Linked DNA regions of Callithrix jacchus. The protein of the gene in region 1 interacts with the protein of each later gene in a pairwise test. Links are inferred from orthologs where the notes say so. Each region holds a gene or a part of one and is shown in the gene's direction. Other genes may lie near its edges.

Region 1 (7,645 bases):
GCTTGGCCTACCAAAGTGCTGGGATTACAGGTGTGAGCCACTGTGTCCAGCCTTTCGTTTTTAACTGAAATATAAAAAGCAAGAAAGAGTTTAAACCCAGAGACATTAATCAGAGAAACCGCAGACATCCCACAGTCTATGCCTTTCTTGGAGATCTGCAGCCAGGCTCTGGGATGGAGAAATATGTCTTGGTTCTGCTTCCATGAGAAGGGCAAAGCTATATGCTTTGCAGTAAGCGGTGTCTGGGGATCTCTGGTCTGTCTTGGACATTTTTTCCTGAAAAGCCCTAATAAGTTTATCTCCCAAAGACAACATTCCCTTCACTGTGTTCACCCAGCCTGGCCCAAAGCCCCAGTTGCCATGCCAGTCAGGGCAGCAAACCCAGTAAGCAACATAAAGCCAAAAAGGTCAACACACAAGCATCTTTGCAGAGATGCCCTTTGGGTCCCAGATGTTTAATCTTTCACATTGTTTCACAGAGTTCCTGTTTCTCTTGTCTCAATTTCTCTGCAACACAAGAGGGTGTGGGCTCCCTCCCCTCCCCTCCCCTCCCCTCCCCTCCCCTTCCTTTTCTCTCTCCTTCTCTCTTTATTTCGGCAGAGTCTCACTTTGTTGCCAAAGGTAGAGTCCAGTGGTGCAATCTCAGTTCACTATAACCTCTGCTTCCCGGGTTCAAACAATTTTCATGTCTCAGCTTCCCGAATAGCTGGGATTACAGGTACACATCACCATGCTTAGCTAATTTCTTTTTTTTTTTTTTTAAGTAGAGATGGAGTTTTGCCATGTTGGCCAGGCTGGTCTCAAACTCCTGACCTCAAGTGCTGCCCACCTTAACCTCCAAAAGTGCTGGGATTACAGGTGTGAGCCACCGCACCCAGGCTTTTTCCCTTACTTTCAACCATGTTAGTGGTATCACCCTGTGCCTTTCTGCACTGACAGTAGCAAGATTCTTCTCGGCAGCCCACTTGTCTACCAGAGAAGGAAAACATTCCCATTTCCACCCTCCTCTCCTGCCGCTCCCCCTCCTGTCTTCCCTTGGAATGACCAACTGAGAATAAAGACCTTTCTCACTGGGAGAGGCTGAGTGTTCCTCTGAAGGTAACCGCAGCTCTGACAGGGTCCTGTTTGCCTTCTCAATGACACGTCAATCACATTGCCATAGTGTTCCAAACAGACTGTGGGAAGAATCTGAACTTCAAAGAAAAATTATCTTAGGAGTTCAAGGCTGCAGCGAGCTAAGATCATGCCACTGCACTCTAATCTGGGTAACAGAGCAAGACCCCGCCTCTAAAAAAAAATCCCACAGGAGTCAACTTTTCTTTAGTTAACTGAAATTCCTCATACAAAAATCTGAATTCCTTCAAAAATCTCAGCCTCACTCTACTTTTACTAATTGTTTATTTTTCCACTTCAAAATACTCTGTTTATGTCTACCATGTGCCAACATCCTGGACCCTGAGATCTGAGTCTCACTCTACTTTTACTAATTGTTTACTTTTCCACTTCAAAATACTCTGTTTATGTCTACCATGTGCCAACATCCTGGACCCTGGGAACTTTCTGGCAAAGTAGACTGAAGATAATTTATAAACAGATAGTCAAAATCTGATACATAAAAGAGAAATCTATTATAAATATACATCTCTAATATGCATTTTCTGATTCTCTCTGGAACAACTAAAATGTAGTCACAAATATCTTTATTCCCCTATAGCTTCAAGAATGAAGTTAGCATACACAATTCTGTGTGCTTCCTCACTGACTCATTCATTCATTGGGCAAATAGTTATTGTATATAAACCATGAGCCAGGCACTGTGCTGGGCACTAAGCTAGAATACAGAGATAAGAAGCATTCCTGGCTGGGTGCGGTGGCTCACATCTGTAATTCCAGCGCTTTGAGAGGCCAAAGCAGGAGGATCACTTGAGGCTAGGAGTTTGAGACCAACCTCGGCAGCATAGTGAGACTCTGTCTCTAAAAAGAAAAAGAAAAAAAAATGGGTGTGGTGGCATGCACCTGTGGTCCCAGCTGCTGAGAAGGCTGAGGCAGGAGGGCTGCCTGAGTCCAGGAATTCAAGGTTGCAGCGAGCTCTGATCACATCACTGCACTCCAGCCTGGGCAACAGAAAGAGACACGGTCTTTCACAACAACAACATAGCGTTCCTGCCTTTAAAGAACTTACATTCTAGTGAAAGACAAGTGAAGAGATAATTATTATTATTTTTGAGATGGAGTTTCACTCTTATTGCCCAGGCTGGAGTGCAGTGACGCGATCTCGCAGCACTTTGGGAGGCCTAGGCGGGTGGATTACCTGAGGTCAGGAGTTCAAGACCAGCCTAACATGGTGAGGCAGGAATGGTGAGGAAGGGCATGAGATGCTGAAACGGGAGGTGCTAGGTGTAGCTGGGTCACAGATGAGACGATAGGGCTAGGTGTTTGTTTGTTTTTTCTTTCCGATAGTTTGGAGGAAAACTCATTGCTTGGTTGTCAGAGCCTAAAGGGACATTAAGAGCTAAAGATGAACATACTCCCTTATTTTATAGACAAAGGAAACAAGATTCAGAGAGGGTGAAATAACTTGTTTCAAGTTATTCAGCTAGTTGGAAGCAAAACCAGAATGCCTCCAGTGTTCTGTGCAACGCAGTCCAGGCCTCCCTCGCGTCCCAAGAGGCAGAAGCGATTTGGGGAAAAGGCCACGCCCCTTGCACGGCCGCCGGGGTCCCCCGACCCTGGCACACACCGCCCCCTCCTGCTTCTTCTCTGAACAGCTGCTCCCGGGGCCTCTTCCCGCCGCTTCCCTTCCAACCCTGGACCCAGCGGGCGGAGAGGGCGACGTCCGCGGTGCTCGGGGACCGGGGGCGCCCGCAGGCCTCGCGCCCTCCACCTGCTGCCCCGTGCGGCTGAGGGGCTCCCTTGCCCGGCGAGGAGGCACCGCTGCCCGGACTCCTCGCAGCCCCGCGCGCCCCGGGCGCTCCCCAGCTCCAGGCGGCGGCCCCCGCGAGGCCCTGCAACCCGCGGAGAAGTTGGCGGCGTCTGAAGCCACCTCCTTCCCCCTCTTTCCCAGCAACTGGGACCCTACGGCCGGGCGCCCCACCCCACCCACCCTCGCCCCACCCTTCCTCCCGCCCAGCTGCCTCCCCGCCCAGGGTCGGTCAAGAGACGCCCGCCGCCCAGCACTGGCGGGTGCAGCCCGGGCGCCAAGTTCCGCGCCATGGGAGGCTCCCACTCTCAGACCCCGAGGGGCCGGGAACCCGCCGGGGAGAGGTCCCCGAGACCCACGGAGACCGCGTGAGTCCCAGAGCCCTGTCCGGGGGCCGCCTTTGGGGGTTTGCGTGCCAGTCATGGATGGAGCGCGCGGGGCCGGTCCCAGAAAGGCTGGGAAGGTGGAGTAGCCGCTCGCGGCTGCGGGACACGAGCGCTCTGGGTTTGGCCTGCGGGGCCCCCGGGTACGCCCGGCTGGGAGAGACCCCCAGTACCCCACCGCGACCGGATTGCGTCCGGGCGGGACTGTGGTCCTGCTCCATTCCACGCTGCACCGGCGAGATAAGGGGACCCCGAGTTTTTCTGGCCTCGTCCAAGCAGAAAACCCACGTGTCCTAAAGAGCTCTGAAACGTTCAAAAGATAGCTATTTGCAGGGAGGTAAAACCATGAGAGAGGCCCCAGAGTCTCTAAACGCAGCTCATGTTGGCCCTCGGGGTCCAGAAATTTTGACGCCGTCCTTGCTGCTTGCAAGAACTCCCTCTCTTGTTTGCTCCAAGGGCTTCATGATGATCTCAGTAAAAAAAAAAAAAAAGGGCTGTATTGTAGCAGCAGCAATTAGGCTTTTGTTCTGGGACAGCAACAATTGGGGACACCGAGTACTGTAATGCAAGCAGTGAAGGGAAAGTTTTCGAGAACGTGATTAGGAGCAAGTCCCACTGTTTGGAAGATGGCCACGCTTATAGACAGAGAGGGGATAACGATTTATTTGGAAACCCAAATAGTCTTTAAGTATTTGATTAATTTTTTTTTAATGCATGCGTGTCTTGGAATTGCGGCAATGTCAAGGAGTCCATACTCCTTATTTTAAAGCAGCCAGAGTGGGAGTTATTTCGTTTTAGAAAGATACACTTAACCATCACAAAAGCAGCCTGGACGGTGGGAAGGCTTTTAAATCATCTTTTCAAGACAAAGTATCTTTCGGAATATCCAAATGTTAATTGTGGCTCCTAACGTTTATTGATGATCACAAATCTAAACTTACTTCAGGCAGCTTATTAATAAGAATAGCTGAGGCCAGGCGATTGTGGCTCAGGCCTGTAAGCCCAGCACTTTGGGAGGTCGAGGCAGGCGGATCACTTGAAGTCAGGAGTTTGATCCGCCTTGGCCAACATGGTGAAACCCCCGTCTCTACTACAAATACAAAAATTAGCCTGGCTTGGTTGACGTGAGCCTATAGTGCCAGCTACTTGGGAGGCTGAGATGGGAGAATCGCTTGAACCCGGGAGAAGGAGGTTGTGGTGAGCTGAGATTGCACCACTGCCCTCCAGCCTGAGCAACAGAGGGAGACTCTGTCTAAAAAAAAAAAAAAAAAAAAAAGAATAGCTGAGATTTACTGAGCACATGACATGTGCAAAACGCTTCTAAATGCGCCACATGTTATTTAACCCCCAAGAGCACTGAGTTATTACTGCTCTTGTTACTCTCTTCATTTTCCTGGCGAGGGAACTGAAGCACAGAAAGATCAAGTAACTTGTCCAAGGTCACACAGCTAGAAAGTGGTGGACCCCAGACTGCCTAACTCCAGAGCTCATGCTGCAGCCGCCTCCCACCCAACACTTGGAACTATCCTAGGAAACAATCAAAATTTGTCTCAACTGGCAGAGCACACCCTCCTTTTTCCTTTAATTTTCTTTGAATAAGGAGGAAATCTGCAATAGCAATGCTTAATAGCCAATAAGGCAAAATTGCCAAAGTCAATTTAACTTTCTTTTTTTTTTTAGACAGAATCTTGCTCTGTCGCCAGGCTGGAGTACATTGGCGCGATCTTGGCTCACTGCAACCTGTGTCTCCTGGGTTCAAGCGATTCCCCTGCTTCAGCCTCCTGAGTATCTGGGATTACAAGTGCACACCACCAGCCTGGCTAATTTTTGTGTATTTTAGTAGAGATAGGGTTTCACCATGGCCAGGATGGTCTCCATCTCCTGACCTCATGATCCACCCACTCGTGACTCCCCAAAATGCTGAGATTACAGGTGTGAGCCACTGCGTCTGGCCAATTTAACTTTCAAAAAACAAAATGAGTGGCAATATAACACTCATAACTGAGATGAAGTTAAGAGTTTTGGAGGCAAATAGCCATGCGTTTAATTTCTAGGTGCTGCTCCTTAATGCTGGAGATCTTTTATCTCTTCCTTAACCCCTCTGTGTCTGTTTCCTTGTTTGTGAAACAGGAATTATAACAATATCTACTTCACAGGCTGTTCTGAGATTGACATAAAGTCATGTATATATATATGAATAATAAGTTATAGTTTATCTCTGAGCAATATACTAATTTAACTGAGGATGAAAGTTGACTATTTTTTGTGAATGTGTGGCCAGGTTTACTGTGTAACTTGCAAGTAAATAATGGAGTCATTCACTATGGCATGCTGAAGAAATCAACTCAGGATGCGAGGTAGGATTCAGTTGTTAGGGTGTTAAATTAGCAGTTATTAAATTATCCAGTGGCTTGGCAGTCTACTCATTTTAACTGTATAATATAAACATGTATAGAGGATCTCTCTCTTCATGGAGGCTCTGTGTGCACCTTGTGTATTTTGCAAAGCTTGCCTAAAAACGATCAACATGAAAGGCTATCCTTGGTCTTTGCCTAGGAATGCAGCCCTTCCTACTCAAGCGAATACATTAAGCACATAAACACATGCAATCAGTGCTGGGATTACTGGCCTCATCTGCATGTGTAGACTCTGCTCAATGAGGCAGCCTCACAAAGTATTTGGCATGCCCAAGTGAAAGACTTTAGATACGCAAGATTCCAACCTGTAATATACATGAAAAGCAAAAAGGATGCTTTTTATCCAAGTCCTGCCTCGTTCAGATGTCTGAAGCCACAAGTCTAAGCCACAAGTCTCTCCAGGATACAAGAAAGTGGGCGATTCATTGTTAATGTCACCCGCTACAGACTTCCTGCCGGACGTATGGCTGTTGTGGATAACGCTGACCTCAAGGAAGTTCTCCTACTCAGGCTGTAGCTTTTTCAAAATCTATTGTTCTTTTTTTTAAAAAAAAAAAATATGAGAGTCATATGAGTAATACATTAATGCTGGCATTTGTCTTTTGAGGAAGAAAGTATGTTTCAGAATGTTCACAATTTGTATCTCAGAATAATTTAATCAGGTACTAAAAGTAACCAGATTAAATCTCTTTTATAAGAGCTCTATTGTGAAACATAAACAAGTATAGATGTACATGAAAAGAAATGTCTGATTTTAAGATAGAATTCATTATTATGGAGAATTGTAGCTGCTAACCTTCTCCAAACCCAAGAAACAAATGAGCCAGCTTTGGTAAAAGCTAGTGGAAATTTCACTTCATTTGTTCAATGAGGCTGCCCAGGAAGGTGATTAAGAGCAGAAATTGTGGAGTCAGGCAGACCTGGGTTGTAATACCAGCTAGATCACTTAGGAGGTTAGTTTAGGAAACACTGGAAATAATAGTTATTTAACTCTTCAGTTGGGCAATTTTCTACATCTATAAAATGGCAATAATAATCAGGCCTAATTTTTTTTTTTTTTAGAGACAGTCTCACTCTGTTGCCCAGGCTGGAGTGCAATGGCACGATCTTGGCTCACTGCAACCTCCATCTCCCAGGTTCAAGTGATGCCTCCTGCCTCAGCCTCCTGAGTAGCTGGGATTACAGGTACAACACCAAATAAAATAATTTTTATTTATAGTAGAGATGGGGTTTCACCATGTTGGCCGGGCTGGTCTCGAACTGTTGACCTCAAGTGATCCACCCACCTTGGCCTCCCAAAGTGCTGGCATTATAGGCGTGAGCCACTGCACCTGGCCTCAGACCTCATTTTTGAAGTGGTATATATTAGTAACACAATGGCCAGCACGTAGTGAGTGTGCAATACATAGTTATTATGGACATATTTGCACGTATGTATACCCATGAACCAGATGCTATGCTGGGCTCTTTGGAAGGTACATTCATGAGTAAGGCAGGGTCTCTTCTGCAGGGAAGTTTGATTTGTGTGCTAATTCTGCAAGGCCTCTGAGAGAAGAAAGGAAATAACTTTTTTGAGTTAATGTTTTTCTCATTTTTCACTTTCCTTTTCCAGAAAGTTGTACTACCAAGAGGATGGAGATTACATTTGGGGATATGGTGGTTTGATGAAAGGTTTGAAATCACTCATTCCTTAGTTGTTTATTTTTGGCGATGTGGCCAAGGTAGGTTTTCTATGAGTAGTGAGGAATTTGTGGAGAGATTTGAAGGATGAGACAAAGCGGAACGTAGGATTCATTAGGGATATGGTATGTAACGAACTTATCTGCTGTCTGTTGTTTAGGTTCTCTGCCTGGAAGTTAAGATCTGCACCTGCTGTCAATTCTTACTAGTTAGATTCCCAGACCAATTATTTGCATTTGGAATTT
Region 2 (7,704 bases), on another chromosome or scaffold:
TTGCAATCCTGGAAGACAGCTGGCACTAAAACCACAGGCACTTGAAATCTGCATTAATGTCACCACTGCCAGGAAAATAATGCAGAGGGCACCTGGATTGAAAGTTGAAAGGAAGCTCATCGGGCCGGGCGCGGTGGCTTACGCCTGTAATCCCAGCACTTTGGGAGGCCGAGGCGGGTGGATCACGAGGTCAAGAGATCGAGACTATCCTGGTCAACATGGTGAAACCCCGTCTCTACTAAAAATACAAAAATTAGCTGGGCATGGTGGTGCGCGCCTGTAGTCCCAGCTACTCGGGAGGCGGAGGCAGGAGAATTGCTGGAAGCTAGGAGTTGGAAGATGCAGTGAGCCAAGATCGTACCACTGCACTCCAGCCTGGTGACAGAGACTCCGTCTCAAAAAAAAAAAAAAAAAAAAAAGTGAAAAATTAACAGATGCTGGCAAGGCTGCAGAGGAACAGGGACACTTGCACATTGTGGTGGGAATGTAAATTAATTCAGCCACTGTGGAGAGCAGTTTGGAGATTTTTCAAAGAACTAAAAGTTGAACTACCATTCAATGCAGCAATCCCATTACTGGGTATATACTCAAGGGAAAATAAACCATTCTACCAAAAGGACACATGTACCGATTACAGCACTAGTCACAATGGCAAAAACATGGAATCAACCCTTGTGCCCATCAATGGTGGATTGGATAAAGAAAATGTAATACTAGACCAGTGTGGTGGCTCACACCTGTAATCCTAGCACTCTGGGAAGTTGAGGTGGGTGGATCACGAGATCAGGAGTTCAAGACCAGCTTGACCAAGATAGTGAAACCCCATGTCTACTAAAAATACAAAAATTAGCCGGGTGTGATGGCAGGTGCCTGTAATCCCAGCTACTCAGGAGGCTGAGACAGGAGAATTGCTTGAACCCAGGTGGCAGAGGTTGCAGTGAGCCAAGATTGCGCTACTGCACTCCAGCCTAGGTGACAGAGTAAGACTGTTTCAAAAAAAAAAAAAAGAAAATGTTGTATATATACATCATGGAATACTATGCAGCCATAAAAAAGAATGAAATCATGTCCTTTGCAGCAGCCTGGATGCAGCTGGAGGCCATAATCCTAAACAAACTAATGCAGAAACAGAAAACCAAATATTGCATGTTCTCACTTAGAAATAGGAGCTAAACATTGGGTACACATGGACATAGAGAAGGGTATGATAGACACCTAGGACTACTAGAGATGGGAGAGTGGGAGAGGAGCAAAGACTGAAAACCTACTGTTGGGTACTATGCTCAGTACCTACGTTTATTCATACCCCAAACCTTAGCATCACACAATATACCTTTATCACAAATCTGCACATGTACCCCAGATTCTAAAATAAAAGTTGAAAAATAAAATAAAATTATAGTCTTTCCAACCCCAATTTCCTAGCCCTTTACCCAGTTTTATTATTTTTCCTTTTCCCACTGGACATATTTTCTAATAACACACTATATAATTTATTTATGCATTGATTGTCTGTGTTTCCTCACTATAGTGTGAGTGCCCCAAGGGGAGGAAATTTTGGGGAGTCTATTTTGTCTACTGATCGTTGCAGTGCCTAGAATAGTCCCTCCACATACTAGGTGCTGATAAACATTTGTCGAATGAATAAATGAGTAGAATCAGACATCTAATGCCCATCTTAAAGTAGGGATGTACCTAAGTCATCCAAGACAAAAAGGGGTTTTGCCGTCTTGTTCTAAAACTCTCCAGGACCCACACTGTACAAACATACTTTATTAAGCCAATTCCAGATTATCATCACACCCTCTCCATAAATGTGATCTTCAGTTTATTTCTGGTAATATTTAAATGAAGTAAATATGCCAACAACCAATGACTGAAGAAGACTATTTCTGTATGTCCTCATCAATTTCTCCAAGGTTACCATGACCGTATTGCTTTGATTCATTCCTTTCTTCTCCTACATGTGAATCTGTCCTCATTGCCCATCCTTTCACTCTTTCCAATCCCCTGTCTGTAGTCTCATTCACTCTATCAATGTGATCCCCAAATCTTTATCATTGATTCTACATCTATTCTTCCAGCTTCCATTGTATATTTTCTAGGCCTACTTGGACGGTTCCATTAGAATGCTTCATTGGTACCTACCAGTAAACAGGTTGTAATTTAAACTCCTCACCCTACCCTTGAGACCTGCTTCTTCTGATTGCCTACTTCCATTGGGCAATCAAATCCTGGAATTCTCTTTGACTCGCCTCCCTAAATGGGATCCACCCTCTCCTTTGCAACTAATTTAGTCAGTTGCCAAATCTTTCATTCTTTCTTGAATCTGCTCTCATTCTCTCTACCGCTAACACCTCATATCAGACGCCTTGCTGGGTTCCCAACTCTAAACCATTTTAGACAATCAATCTAATTAATGTTCCTAAAGTACAACTCTGATTTTGTCACTCTCTTGCTCAGGAACTCTTAATAGCCCCCCCCCATTATCCACTTAACAAAGTACTAATTCCATACCCTGGTATTCAGGATCCTTTAAGAACTGCTTCTAACCTTCTGTGTCAATCTTGTGTTCCACTACTTCCCAACATAATTTCAGTCCTAAAATCAACCCCACATGTTCAGTCCCATACATACGATGCACTTCCTTGTTTCTGTGCCCTGACTCACACTTTGCCCACTAGACATCTCGCTCCTTCTATGAAGGAAAAAAGAAACACATCATATCAATGGTAAAAATTTATTTTCTTCCCTGTCGAGTCCCACTTCTATTAAGTTTCTTATAATTCCAGGAAGGTTCTAACCATTTTCAGGCATGTCCTCAAACACATATATTTATAACCATATATAATAAAATCATTGCACAAGTTTTGCAACTTGCTTTTTGTTCAATTAATAAAATTTGTGCATTTTTCCACTCCAGCATGTAGATGAACCACATTCTTTTAAACAGTTGCATAGAGTTCCATTGAATGGATATACCATAATTCATGTAAAAAGTTCTCTGTTGATAAACATCTAATTTCACCCAGGCTGGAGTACAGTGGTATGATCATAGCTCACTGCAGCCTTTATCTCCCACACTCCAGCAATCCTCCACCTCCAGCTCCCAAAGCACTGGGATTATAGGCATAAGCCACCATGCTTGGCCTCCAGAATTTTTTTTTTTTTTTTTTTAATCTTAAGCAGTGCTGGCTGGACACAGTGGCTCATGCCTGTAATCACAACACTTTGAAAGGCCAAGGCGGGTGGATCACTTGAGATCAGGAGTTCGAGATCACCCTGGCCAACATGGTGAAACCCCGTCTCTACCAGAAAAAAAAAAAAAAATTAGCTGGGCATGGTGATGCAAGTCTGTAATCCCAGCTACTTGGGATTACTGCAGTAGTGCAGTAAACATCATTGGAAATTTTTCTTTTTCTTTGCATACTTGCGTACATCTGTAGGACAAATTCCTCAAGGTAGCATTAAACTCAGGAGGCTGAGGCATGCTGACGGTCAGAAATGCCCAGCCCTACACACACCTTTGGCCCTCCTTTTCGGGGCCGTCGGCAGCTCGGCCCCCGCAGCGACCGGCGTCCCCACCCGAGCTGGCAACGCCAGGTCCAGAGGGAAACACAGCAGCGCGCGGCTCCCTTAAGGCTGCAGGAGGCGCGTGCCCACAGACCTTTCAAATGGACCAATAAAAGGCTGATGGGCGGTCCGTCGAGGACCAATAAAGAACGAGGACACTGCGGGGTGTGCGGCGGCCCAAGCGGTTTCAAACGGCTTAGAGCAGGCCCCTTGGTTCTGACCCGGCTGAGGTGAGTGATAGGTGGGCCTGCCCCACCCACGAGGCCCTCGAGGGCAGGTATCGCGCGCGTACAGTGGTCTCTGGGTCCCAGGGGCGGGGGGGTCTTCAGAAGCGCGCCGCCCTTGTCCCACGAACCCGGCAGGTCTGAGGCGGCGAAGCGGGGCGGAGGCCGGGGGACCTGCGGCGGGCAGGGCGGGGGGCGTGGGCGCTCGTGTGCGGCGGAGGCCGGGGTTGGGCTCCGGGTGGCCAGAGCGCACCGCAGCAGGGCGCGGGTGGCAGTGCCCGGGAAGCGCGGGCGGCACCGGGCCGCGCCTGGCGGCTGCGATATACCCGAACCAGGGCGGGGGCCCGGGGAGCCGGCCCTGCTAGAGTGCTCCTCGCGTAATTGTCAAGTGAATGAATAAGTAAGAGCCTCCTAGGGCTGTGGTGGTTGAGAAGGGCCTTGTCGTCTCGGAGCGTGACGAGAACGGCGGTATTGGGGCCTGGCCGCACACCTGTGTCCCCTGCCGGCTTGCTGCGATGTGAACGATTCCGATCATGCACCACCCCGCCCTTAACGTTTGTTTGGCTTTCACTCTCTCAAGGTGTCGGGAGCGTTCAGGTGTCCTTCTAGCCCTGGAGATGTGGGGGAACCAATACAATAGCCAGCAATGTGGGGTCCAGCAGGCCTTGCTACTTTAAGGTCGGGGCTCAGTGAACTGGATTCTTAGTTTTGAGCTCTCCCCTACTAGTTGTAATGGTGGTCATTGTTGGGCAGGATTGAAATGCATTCCGTTCTGTTTCTTGGATAGAAAATGGTGAAAGGGATGTTGCCAGAGTGGCTAGTGTGTGTTAGAAAATATATTCGTGTTGATGAATCTTAACAATGAGTTTTTCATTCAGCATCAATAGAAGTTGAAGTGGTTTTTGCAGAACTTGCCCCAAATTTATGCATGGCTCTAATTTAATTCTCATGGGACCAGGACATCAAATCTTGGCCCAGAAATGCTGCCTGTCTTATGCATAATTATAGTAATTGAAAACTCATTTTTAGAAAGGTGAGCTCCTCCTTCCTCCATTTTCATCACCCTGAAAAGTCCTTCTTTGACCTAACGAGCCAATAAATGAAGCTAAGAATCTTTTGAAACTTTAAAAAATTGTAAAGGATTTTTGACTTAAGTGACTGGGCAAACTGTAATGCTTTTATAAACTTTAGTGATATAAAGGTGGAAGCAATTTATTTTGCCAGCATAAGTTAAATCTAGTTGATAAACTCATGCAAAAAAAAATTTTAAATACATTTTTAAAGGCTGTTCACTGAGGCAATGACAAGCAAAGGTATTCCATAACAATTAACATGACTTTTATTTTATTCTCCATTACTTTAAAGTGTTGATCAGCTTTGAATTATGAACAGTGGTGTGTGGTAATTCCATCGCACTTTTCTACAACTGACGGTTCAGTTTTAGCAGCAGCTGTTTTTCTGTTTTTTTTTTTTTCTTTTCTTTTTCTTTTACCAGTTTATTGTAAAGGATGCTACAAAGGATAGAGATGAAGAGAGGCATAGGTCTAGTAGGTGTGAGAGGGGTGTGGAGCTCTCACATGAAGTATGTTTGAATATACCAACTCTCTTATAAACTTTTATCTTAATTCCATCAACGCTTTTCTTTCTTTCTTTTTTTTTTTTTCTTTTTGAGATGGAGTCTCACTCTGTTGCCCAGGCTGGAGTGCAGTGGCATGATCTTGGCTCACTGCAACCTCTGCCTCCTAGGTTCAAGGGATTCTCCCACCTCAGCCTCCCAAGTAGCTGGGACTACTGGTGTGTACCATGATGCCCAGCTAATTTTTTGTATTTTTAGTAGAGACAGGGTTTCACCATGTTGGGCAGGCTGGTCTCGAACTTCTGATCTTAAGTGATCCGCCCACCTCGGCTTCCCAAAGTGCTGGAATTACAGGGGCGAGCCACCACATCCAGCCAACCCTCACTTTTCTAACTGCAGCTTCCATTAGGACCTGATCAACAGGTTTTGTTTTTGCAATTCTAGGTAGGGGAAGTGTTCCCCAGCCAGACATATTATCCATTCCCATAAAACATTTATGTATAGGAGACACGGCTTCCAACTTTCGTAGTAGTGTCAACACGTTTTTGTGTTCTCTCTCTCTCTCTTTTTTTTTTTTTTTTTTTTTTTTTTTTTGAGATCAGATCTCACTCTGTCGCCTTGGCTGCGGTGCAGTGCTGCAATTATGGCTCACTGCAGCCTCGACCTCCAGGGCTCAGGTGATCCTCCCATCTCAGCCTCTGAGTAGCTGGGACTACAGATGTGCATCACCATGCCTGGCAAATTTTTAAATTTTTTGTAGCAACGAGGTTTTACCTTGTTGCCCAACCTGGTCTTGAATTCCTGGGCTCAAGGCGTCCTTCTGTCTCGGCCTCCCAAAATGCTGGGGTTACAGGTGTCAACCAGTATGACTGGCCTTCTCTTAATCTAGTTGTAGCCCTCTTCAGGGCTTCACAAATGGCTCTTGGTACCACTGTGCCTGGGGCTTCTATATGAAGGAGACCCAGGAATTTCTCTTCACCACTCCCTGACCATTTTACCTACTTGTATACAGAAAACTTGGGGTCCTCATCCAAGAGACACTTGCCCATTTGTCAGTTTTTTGTTTTTTTTGAGATGGAGTCTTGCTTTGTCACCAGGCTGGAGTGCAGTGGTGCAATCTTGGCTCATTGCAACCTCCGTCTCCTGGGTTCAAGTGATTCCCCTGCCTCAGCCTCCGGAGTAGCTGAGACTATAGGCACGTGCCTCTACACCCAACAAATTTTTTGTATTTTAGTAGACACAGGATTTCACCATATTGGCCAGGGTGGTCTCGATCTCCTGACCTCATGATCCACCTGCCTCAGCCTCCCACAATGCTGGGATTACAGGCATGAGCCCCCACACCCGGCCTGTTAGTCTTTATCTTTTTGACTCACCTGCTTATTGCCCCATCAATTTCAGATTCGATTTCTCATTATAATCTGCCTCCTGACTTAGAATTTCTCCAAACTGGGGTAAATATAGCAAACCTGGTTGGAACCCCTTAATATTGGGAAACTACCAGGGGCTCCCTTTGGCACCCATGCTAGTCTTGAACCCCTGGGCTCACGTGATCATCCAGCCTCGTCCTCCCAAAGTGCTGGGATTACGGGCATGAGCCACCACATCCTTCTACCTTATTTCTTAATAACCATTTAAAAATTTCCACCTTCCATGATGAATCCATTTGCCCTCTGTCTCACTATTCTCTTAGCCTAATGGTTTTATTAGCATCTGTAAGTCCTATGAGAGGAAACAGACAGCACATTTGGTAAGGCTTCTCGAACTGTCTTTTGATTTTGCAGTGGTAAGGTTATCCACATTAAGGAGTCCACCCTTAACCACCGCATTTACCATGACCTGGGTAGTGGGCATTTTTAGAAGGTAAATGTCCTAGTCATCATAAAGCCATTTTCACGTGGCTTGCATATGAAGCATCAGTGGCTTTATCTGGATCTGGGGTGTTACACTTGGCATTTATAGGTAGAATCAGACTGTTCTCCTCAAGAAGCTGATGATACTAATGTACAAAAATGAAACAATTCTTTCACATTGTAGCCCCTGGTTTCAATAGTTCCTTGGTTTTGCAGACCACCCTCTTCCTTACCAGAGGTCTTAGAAGCACTTTTGGTTGTGACAGCATAAATTTTTCCCTTGGGACAGCTTTGAGGCTAGTGGCCTAAGCTCACACACTTACTGAAATCTGAGCTTGGTCTAGCAGGAAGGTCCAACCCACCACTCTCTTAATTTCATTTTAGCTGTAACAGATAACAATAACCAAGGGATTTAACATTTCATTTCTTAAATACTAGTTTGCATCTCCTTGTGTATCCCGTGAACCAACTCCCAGGC

Evidence for each region.
Region 2: the proteins of TACC1 (region 1) and CKAP5 interact in binary tests that used the Homo sapiens proteins (3 or more experiments, as listed by UniProt). The link is inferred for Callithrix jacchus from reciprocal best matches to the Homo sapiens genes TACC1 and CKAP5.

Annotation. Positions count from the first base shown.
Region 1 is NC_133514.1:39,582,875-39,590,519, forward strand, and holds the start of TACC1 (transforming acidic coiled-coil-containing protein 1), read left to right. Parts: upstream 1-2,792; 5' UTR 2,793-3,211; coding exon of another isoform or gene 3,212-3,288; intron 3,289-7,645. UniProt on the Homo sapiens protein: Involved in transcription regulation induced by nuclear receptors, including in T3 thyroid hormone and all-trans retinoic acid pathways. Might promote the nuclear localization of the receptors.
Region 2 is NC_133511.1:111,900,980-111,908,683, reverse strand, and holds the start of CKAP5 (cytoskeleton-associated protein 5), read left to right. Parts: upstream 1-3,742; 5' UTR 3,743-3,850; exon of another isoform or gene 3,851-3,935; intron 3,936-7,704. UniProt on the Homo sapiens protein: Binds to the plus end of microtubules and regulates microtubule dynamics and microtubule organization. Acts as a processive microtubule polymerase. Promotes cytoplasmic microtubule nucleation and elongation. Plays a major role in organizing spindle poles.